Coturnix japonica: one gene and its partner. Each later gene encodes a partner of the first gene's protein in a complex. Links are inferred from orthologs where the notes say so. Each region holds a gene or a part of one and is shown on either strand. Other genes may lie near its edges. The genes, in order: PLEKHM1 and MAP1LC3C.

The links.
Region 2: the proteins of PLEKHM1 (region 1) and MAP1LC3C are in contact, whole or in part, in a crystal structure (PDB 5DPW), measured with the Homo sapiens proteins. The link is inferred for Coturnix japonica from reciprocal best matches to the Homo sapiens genes PLEKHM1 and MAP1LC3C. Residues at the interface, in NP_055613.1 of Homo sapiens: Glu632, Asp633, Glu634, Trp635, Val636, Asn637, Val638, Gln639, Tyr640; in NP_001004343.1 of Homo sapiens: Phe13, Arg16, Lys17, Glu25, Ile29, Phe33, Lys36, Pro38, Asp54, Lys55, Thr56, Lys57, Phe58, Leu59, Val60, Pro61, Glu63, Leu64, Ile72, Arg76, Phe114.

What each region holds. Positions count from the first base shown.
Region 1 is NC_029542.1:1,138,049-1,142,342, reverse strand, and holds the start of PLEKHM1 (pleckstrin homology domain-containing family M member 1), read left to right. Parts: upstream 1-1,380; 5' UTR 1,381-1,462; intron 1,463-4,294. Other genes in the region: leucine-rich repeat-containing protein 37A-like, read left to right, coding at 119-325. UniProt on the Homo sapiens protein: Acts as a multivalent adapter protein that regulates Rab7-dependent and HOPS complex-dependent fusion events in the endolysosomal system and couples autophagic and the endocytic trafficking pathways.
Region 2 is NC_029518.1:32,120,325-32,124,284, reverse strand, and holds MAP1LC3C (microtubule-associated proteins 1A/1B light chain 3C), read right to left. Parts: upstream 2,422-3,960; 5' UTR 2,366-2,421; coding exon 2,308-2,365; intron 2,229-2,307; coding exon 2,173-2,228; intron 2,065-2,172; coding exon 1,958-2,064; intron 1,194-1,957; coding exon 986-1,193; 3' UTR 649-985; downstream 1-648.

The DNA of each region.
Region 1 (4,294 bases):
CTGACCCATAGCTGACCCATAGCTGACCCATAGCTGACCCATAGCTGACCCATAGCTGACCCATAGCTGCCCCATAGCCGCCCCACACTGAGCCGTCCCCATTCCCCGCTGCTCTCAGGGCTCCGATCGCAGTAAGGACGATCCCCAGTGGCTGCGGGATCTTTACCTGCCCCTGAATGAGCTGCAGAAGGATTCGATCCAGCAGCTGTACCGGGAACCGGGGGACGAGGAGGAGGAGGATGAAGAGCTGCTCAATGGGGCCGGGCCAAAACGGGACGGGACGGCGGCCACAGCCGACCCCAAAGGCAGCAAAGGGGCTCCGTGATCCCACAGCCCCGATGGATCCACCCCATAGAGCCCCGGAATGGAGGGAGGGGCCATGGGGATCAGTGGGGGGGGATGTGCTGAGTTATGGGGTGGATGGAGCCGCTGGGTTTGATATTAAAGGATATTGGTGTTCTATGGGGTGTGTGTGATATGGGGGGATCTGTAAGGGGGTCTATAGGGTGTGCTATAGGGTGTGCTATGGGGTGTTCTATAGGGTGTGCTATGGGGTGTGCTATGGGGTGTGCTATAATAATAATATAGGGTGTGTGTTCTATAGGGTGTTCTATAGGGTGTAGCTACTAATTGGGTGTGCTATGGGGTGTTCTATGGGGTGTTCTATGGGGTGTTCTATGGGGTGCTCTATAGGGTGTGCTATAGGGTGTTCTATGGGGTGGTCTATGGGGTGTGCTATGGGGTGGTCTTTGGGGTGGTCTATAGGGTGTGCAATAGGGTGTGCTATAGGGTGTTCTATAGGGTTTTCTATAGGGTGTTCTATGGGGTGTGCTATAGGGTGATCTGTAGGGTGTTCTATGGGGTGCTCTATGGGGTGCTCTATAAGGTGTTCTGTTTATGTTGGGTGGGTCTCTATGGGTGTCTAAGCGGTGTTTCTATGGGTCGCGTCTATGGGTGATTAAGTGGGTTGCTATGGGGTGATTGATTCTATGGGGTGATTCTATGGGGTGATTCTATGGGGTGATTCTATGGGGTGAGTCTATGGGGTGTGCTATGGGGTGGTCTATAGGGTGTTCTGTTCTATGGGGTGTGCTATAGGGTGTTCTATGGGGTGGTCTATGGGGTGGTTTAATAGTTGGGGTGTGGCTATGTGTGTTCTCACTTATATGGGATTTCTATGGGTGTTCTATAGGGTATTCTATAGGGTATTCTATCTTAGGGGTGGTCTATATGGTGCTCTCTATGGTGTCCATGTGTCCATACACACTCAGCTCTATTTACACCCATCTCTCACCCACGTGCCCTTTTCCCGCCCAGAGCGCGCCAATTCTCTCTCAAGTTCCCGGCCCACTCTATGTTGGGAGTGGCCTCTCTTAGCATCGCCCCCTTTGCGTGATGACGTCACGAGGAGGCGGGGCTTACAGCCGCTACTTCCGGGTTTCCCGGCCGGGTCGTGGAGGCGGTGAGAGGGGGTGGTGGGGATGGGTAATGGGTAATGTGGATTGGGCGATGTGGATGGGATGGTGCATGGGTTGGGAAATTGGGGGCGATGTGGGCTGGGGATATGTTGGGTTTGCTGATGGGGTCCGGTGGGTGCTGGGCCGCAGTGGGGCTGCTATAGGCCCTATGGACCCATTAGTCACTATGGGGCTGCTATAGGCTCCTGGAGGCATTCTAGTCTGGTTTCTATGGGGGCTGCTTCTGGGTCTTCCTTGGATTCCCTATAACCAGAGTTGACATGGTTACACTTGGTCCTGGTGTTGGGTGTAGGTATGTGCCCATAAGGGAGAACTCGTCCCATAACAGGGCAGGACTAGCCATAAGGGCGGACTCGGCCATAACAGGTCGGACTGCTGGGCCATTAACAGGGAGGATCGGCATAATCAGGGGAGGTGACGCTCCTGCAGCACTTTGACACCTTTTGCATCAGCTGCTGGAAGGGGCTGGGATCGGAGCTGCTGCCCCACAGCTGTGGGGTGTTGTGGGATCTGTGGGGCAGGCTGAGCTCTCCTCCATCCCATCCCATATCCCATCATATCCGATCATCCCATATTATCCCATCCCAGTGCCCATCATCCAATATGGCCTTGTGGTGCTGCGATACACATCGGGCGTCGGTTTCGGAGTACCTCCGAGTCCTTTCGGGAGTGCAGAGATCCCATAGCCGGTTTGCCTACATGGTGTTCCTGTTTTTTCACGAGTAGCCATATGCGACAGGAATGTCCAGTGGTGTTTTTTTTCTTTCCTTATAATTTTACATTCATATAAAGGCATACTTGCTGTTGAAACTGGCGAGCCGGTTTATCTCTAGCTGAAGGGCCTGGTTCATGAAATTACACCTCTACGGTGGTGGGGGCCGGGGGGCTTCAAAGAGCTGACGAGTCAGTGACGAGCCCCTTCGCATTTACGGAGGAGGTATTACAACGAAAGCGGTGTTAACAGTTCGCCTGCCAGTTAATGGAGGGGGGGTCACATATGGCGGTGCAAGAGTAAGGATATAGCTTATATCACTTATTAGAAGCGTCACAGAGGTTAAACTGAGTTGAGCAGAATTTAACACACGACAAACAACACAAAAGATACGCACTGGTTACAATCCGCCAGGGGGACCGAATTGTAATGTCGGCCAGAATCTACTCTCACGCGCTATATCAGACTATCTGCGAAATGGTCTGAATCCCCCAGTAAACTTTGTGCGAGTCAGCAATGGAAAAACTTCCATTGATTCCGGCTTTTACGCCACCAGGAGCTTCTTGGCTGGGCTGGAGTCCTAGATAAATAAACATCTATATGAGACTCTCGAACATTCTCCTTCTCTTCTCGAGGCCCACAGATCGCCTCAAGGCCTCCTGGGGATCAGGCATTTTATCAAAAGGCGAGGTCCACAGAATAAACACTGGTGATAAGGTGGGGCAGTGAATTATAACACACGTGTCCCTTCGCCTGGAAAGTTAAAGGGGAGCCTCGCTCGAAATGGAGGCATGGAATTTTGTCCCTCTCGGCCTCCAATAAGGGCACGCACCAGTGTCTCCATCTGCTGCAGGATAGGAAATGGAGGATGGGGAGCTTGACTGGTAACCAAGGAATCTACAGCACGCACTCCTCATGGGCTGGGCACACACTCTACGACTTTCTCCGGCACCTAGGGTAAGATTGGAATATAGGAAAAGGGGAAAAGAAACACACGAACGCTAAAGTCCTTTTATTGGTAGATAAAGCCGAAGGGTTTGTCTGTTGTCCTTTCTCAAATAGAAACAGCCTTCCTGCTCTTAAAAGAAATTATGAAGCTTCTAAAATGGTTGGGGCATTCTAAATTTTCCAACTGGCATTAACAGGCTTGTGGAATCGCTTTGCGCATCTCCTAAAAGAGAATAAAAACAACAAGGGAAACCAATACCAAGGTTAAGGGTCTAGGGAAGCAGAAGATGGAGCCATCGATTACAACCACTACAGCTACATGGAATGTTATGTAGAGGCAGTTGTGTATCTTTACAATTTCTTGCAATGTTTGCGATCGCAGTCAGCAGAAATAATCAGATGAGCTGTACGCTACAATGTGTGCGCTCCATTGGTTGGGTTGCTGGACTGAATAGTCCCTGAAGAAATCACTGGGGGCGCATGCGGGCACAGGCGAAGGCAAGTGAGGAGAGTGCCCTGGGGGCAGAAGCGGCTGATGGTGGCGTATGACGTCAGGGTGTTCGTGTCCAGGCCTCAGCCTCGCTGCGTACTCTGGGGAAGGGCCCCTACATTACAGATGAATGTGTTCGTGGCCATGTGCAGCTGAAGGCAAAAGCCCTTTCTTAATACCGCAGTGACGAGTGTTGTGGGGGACGCTTCTGAGACTTTTCAGGTGGTTGTGCCATTAGTTTTACAGAACTGGCCAGCGGAAGGTCGTGCTAATGATTGGAAAAGTTACCGAGCAAGGATCACCTGGTCATACATGGATCCAACATCACTCACCAGCCCAAGACCAGGGTCCCTCGACGAAGCGTGTGTGAAGACCATTGTGCAAATGCCGTTGCTGGCTGGGTGTGTGGAGGGGCAGCGCTGATGGCATAAGGCTTTCTCTAGGAGCCTGGAGGCAGCAGCAGCTCCAACAGAGCTGGAGAGCTGTCGCTAGCAGGGACAAGTGTCAGCTATTGCAGAGGAATGCGGGACAGATGCCAAAGAATGCGGACAGATCTATCACAAGTACACGGTTGGCTGAGAAGAGGGTCAGCAAAGACTCTTCTTAGAAACGAGCAAGCACGGAGTTTCCAAAGGAATAGTCGCAGACTGCTCCAGCTGCTGCAGA
Region 2 (3,960 bases), on another chromosome or scaffold:
CAAATTGTTATATTCATTATCCTAAGCTGAGGCTTCTGAAGGTTAACTGCACGCTGCAACAGATTTTTACATAACCTGGTATTCCGATTATGCACAAACTGAACATTTACAACTTTCTGACACATTCCTGATATATTAGAAAGCTGCACTTCAGCTTGAACCTCCTGTCAAGAGTTTCTTCCAATTCATTTTCAGGAAGCTTGTACAATAAATGTATCAGCATGTCACTACATGATAGTTTTGACATTTTCCAGATACGCTGACATACCTCTGTAAGGTACAGCACAAACACCCACACTTGAGGCAAGGCTCACTGAAGTCCCTCAGCAGAAGAGCTGTGCAGGTGCCTGTAGGTGAAAGGGATGACCAGCTTGCCTACAGACCAGACTAGCAGAATTCAATAGAAAGAGCAGAACACTGACCCCTATTCTAGCACTGATGCAACCCTGCTACTCAGGTACTTCAATGAATGAACTGTTTGTAGGTATGAGCCTACTGCTGCATGAGCAGGCTTGAGTTTTGTTATCTCATTGTGAAATTGAATGAGTGGCTGTGCAAGCAACACTCCACTCCAGAAGCCTGGAGCCAGAATCATTCTAGGACCTTTTCCCAGGAAGTCTCTCCCCAAATTAAAACTGACATTCAACCTAGTACTTAAAAGCTTCTTTATTTTATTCTTAAGCAACACCTTAAAAAGCAGTTACATCACAAGATCGGTATTGCAAAAAGTGGAGGTGCAGTTCCAAAACAACAACAACAAAAAAGAAACCCCACAGTGCCTTCCAAGTATAAAAATATACATCTAAATTATCATCCATGGAAAAGTGTACCACCATCTCTGCCTTGAGCCGGTCCTGCCAGCTTTTGGATCATAACTCCGCAGTACAGAGCTCAAGAGCTCATACTGGAGGGAGCATCTCCGAGTCTCATGTCACATGCATGATTCACAGCACAGTGGCTTAGCTGCAGCATATAGACCCCAGCATTAGGTTTTATGGTGGCATTCCATAGTTTTCCCTAAGGTGAGTGAGCAGCATCCGAACATCTCCTGGGAAGCATATGTCATGTACACGAAGCCATCTTCATCCTTGTAGTCCCTGTACACCTCTGCCATGGTCAAAGACATACTCGCTAAGCTCTTGTTGTTCACCAGCAGGTAGAAAGCTTGTGTAGCAGTCAGAGCCATCCTGCTTCTGAATGAAGAGGGAAAAGGAAACAAAGGACCAAGCATTAGCAAATTTAAGGTTTCAACCTTAGTCTATAAAATACATTAAGCAGAATAGTTGCAGCATTTCTTGTACATAGTTTATGCACGAAGACGTTGCTTAGTTTAATATTTCCATCAGAAAGTTAACTGTACTCAGAAACAGGAAGCTTGCTCCAGGGAAAGGCTTAAGCTGCAGGACTGTAGCTGCTACCAAGCCTGAGCCTGGGGCTGCCCATTCCCAAGAAGTGCTGAGTGTAGCTACAATAGGGAATTTCAGCACAGCCTGTTAAACTTAAGGCCTGCCCACCTTCAGAGGAGTCTCACTCAGAGACTTTACACATGAAGACTGGCTGACAAAAGTATCTTCTACATAAGTTAATAACTGGAAACATGGCTTCCACGCACTTTTTGTCACTGACAAAAAATTGCCTTACAATTCCCCAGCACCCCTGCACAGAACGCCCCCCTTTAGGAGACCTCTTTGCCAGTGTATTTGTAAAGAACACCCGGGATGGAGCTGCCACAGGTTTGGGCAACCTGTAAGTGCAACAGGAGCAGCAGGGCAGCAGCAGTTGGATGCAGAGCACAGCCCAGAACCAGGCAGAACGGGAGCAGAGCAGCAGCCTCGCGCCGCCTTTATCCGCCAGTGAGGGGGAAGAGGGACCTCGGGAGCCCCGAGCTCTTCCCTATCAGCTCCCGCTGGGGGAGGCCGCCCCAGGCCCCTCTCACGCGGTAGTGCGCGGCCCTTACCTGATGATGGTGATGAACTGCGTCATGGTCAGCTCCTCGGGGACGAGAAACTTAGTTTTGTCCAACAGGGGAAGGTATTTCTCCTTCTGGTACCTCTCAACGATTACCTGTTTTTAATTAGAGTCACTTAGAAGCCCCAGCGACGTTCCGTTCCCCTCCTTCCAAAATACTCAAGGCAGAAGCCGGGAGCCCCCGCCCGCGGAGCAGCGAATTACCGGGATCTTTGTGGGGAACTTGGCCCTGATGCCGGCCACCTCCTCCCGCCGGGTGGCTGCGCGGGAGAGAGCACAAGCGTTACGTTGTAACGTAGAGAGAGAGAGCACCGTACCGTCCCATCCCCATAACCATACCCAGACTCTTGCGCAGCTTGAAGGGCCGCACCGGCTGCACCCCGGGACCCGCCTGCATCCCGCCGCCTGAGGCCGCCGCCCCGCGCCGCGCCTCTTATGGGCCGGTCCGGCACCGCCCCGAGGGGCGGCGTGTGGCGGGCGGGCTGCTTCGCATTTGGGAGTTGCCTTGGAAGTATCCATCCCAGCATCCATCCCAGCATCCATCCCAGCGCTGCCCAGCCTTGCTTTTGCTTCACGCACACTTCCATGCCAGACGCCGTTCTGTCAAACTGCCCCTCTGCTGCCATCTGTCACACAGCTACAACGTGTAACGAATATTAGGATTCAACCTCTGCTGCCATACCTCCAATGTCTGCCTCTGACATCGTGGGACAGCATCACATAGTATGAAGCATTACTTTCAGGGCAGCCCTCATAAAATACATAACATGGTTCATACATGAAAGTAATACAACTGTTTTTAGTATTTTATATTGAAACAAAACAAAAGAGAGCAACAGCACCATAATTCTGATGAGATATGTGACCTTGTTTGTGAGAAAGTGGCTTATCAGTGTCTGGTTTGCTGGCAGTGGCTGCAGTTCTTATGAGCTCCGAAGGCATTTGTCACATTGTTGACAAAATGTACTCCTCCTGTGCTTTATCCTTGACAAAAGTTGTTCACAAGTGTACGTACTGCCTGACGGCCATCTCAGGAATAAGGTGTGACTGTGAAGCAAGGGATGTTTCTCCCTGGTAAGGGGGTTTATAAAAGTCTGGTGAAGAGCAAGTCCAGCCTGGGAGTGAGATTATATAGTGTCCTGGTCCCGTGACTTATCCCTGACCATGATGTCCTCTGGGATATGTAGTCTTCTTCTGTGAGCTGAACATTCAGTAAAATTATCCATACTTTACATGATGTTATGATGTGGAATACTGATAGCAAAATTACAAAACCATGACACCATCACAGCACAGCTCACCAAATGGCACAACGAACTGAAGTATGTAGAGAGGACAGGGTGTGTTGCTCTGAGGAGCTGCTGAGCCTCAGACTTGGGAGGGGAGCTGTGGCCAGTTTTGGTGCTGTCAACACGGCCCCTAAGGGACCCATCCCCAAGGTAAGCCTCCCCAGCTGTGCAGGAGAGCTCCAGGGCTCCTATCAGAGATGCATGTGGAACACCTGGACTTGGTTCCACACAACCACCAGCACCTTGTTTCCAGAGGGATGTTAGCCTTCACAGGCAGCTGTTTGACAGAAAACTGAGCACCTGACAAGAGAGGGAGGGAGCTGAAGAACGGAACTTCAAGTGAAATTCTTGGCTGTGGCTCTAATTCCTACTGCAGCTAAAAGTGAGCACAGTTAGCAGATGCCCTGCGTTACATCATCTGGAGGCAGAGAGCAAGGGAGGTCATCTGTGTGTCTGCATAGCACCTGTGCTTACACTAGCATCGAATTATCCAGATTCAGACTTGCATGTGGAATGTGATCTTTCTTCTCTCCTTTCCCTTGGAAGTTTTTCTCACTTGCATGTAATTATTGGACTAGTGAAGCACTTCTGCGCAGTGAATGGATTTCTCAGAGTGCCATACTGAAGCACAAGGAAGAAAGGTAACTGTTATTCTTTTTTTACTTGCTCGCATGCCTGAAGACTGCATTGATGGGAGTCCTGT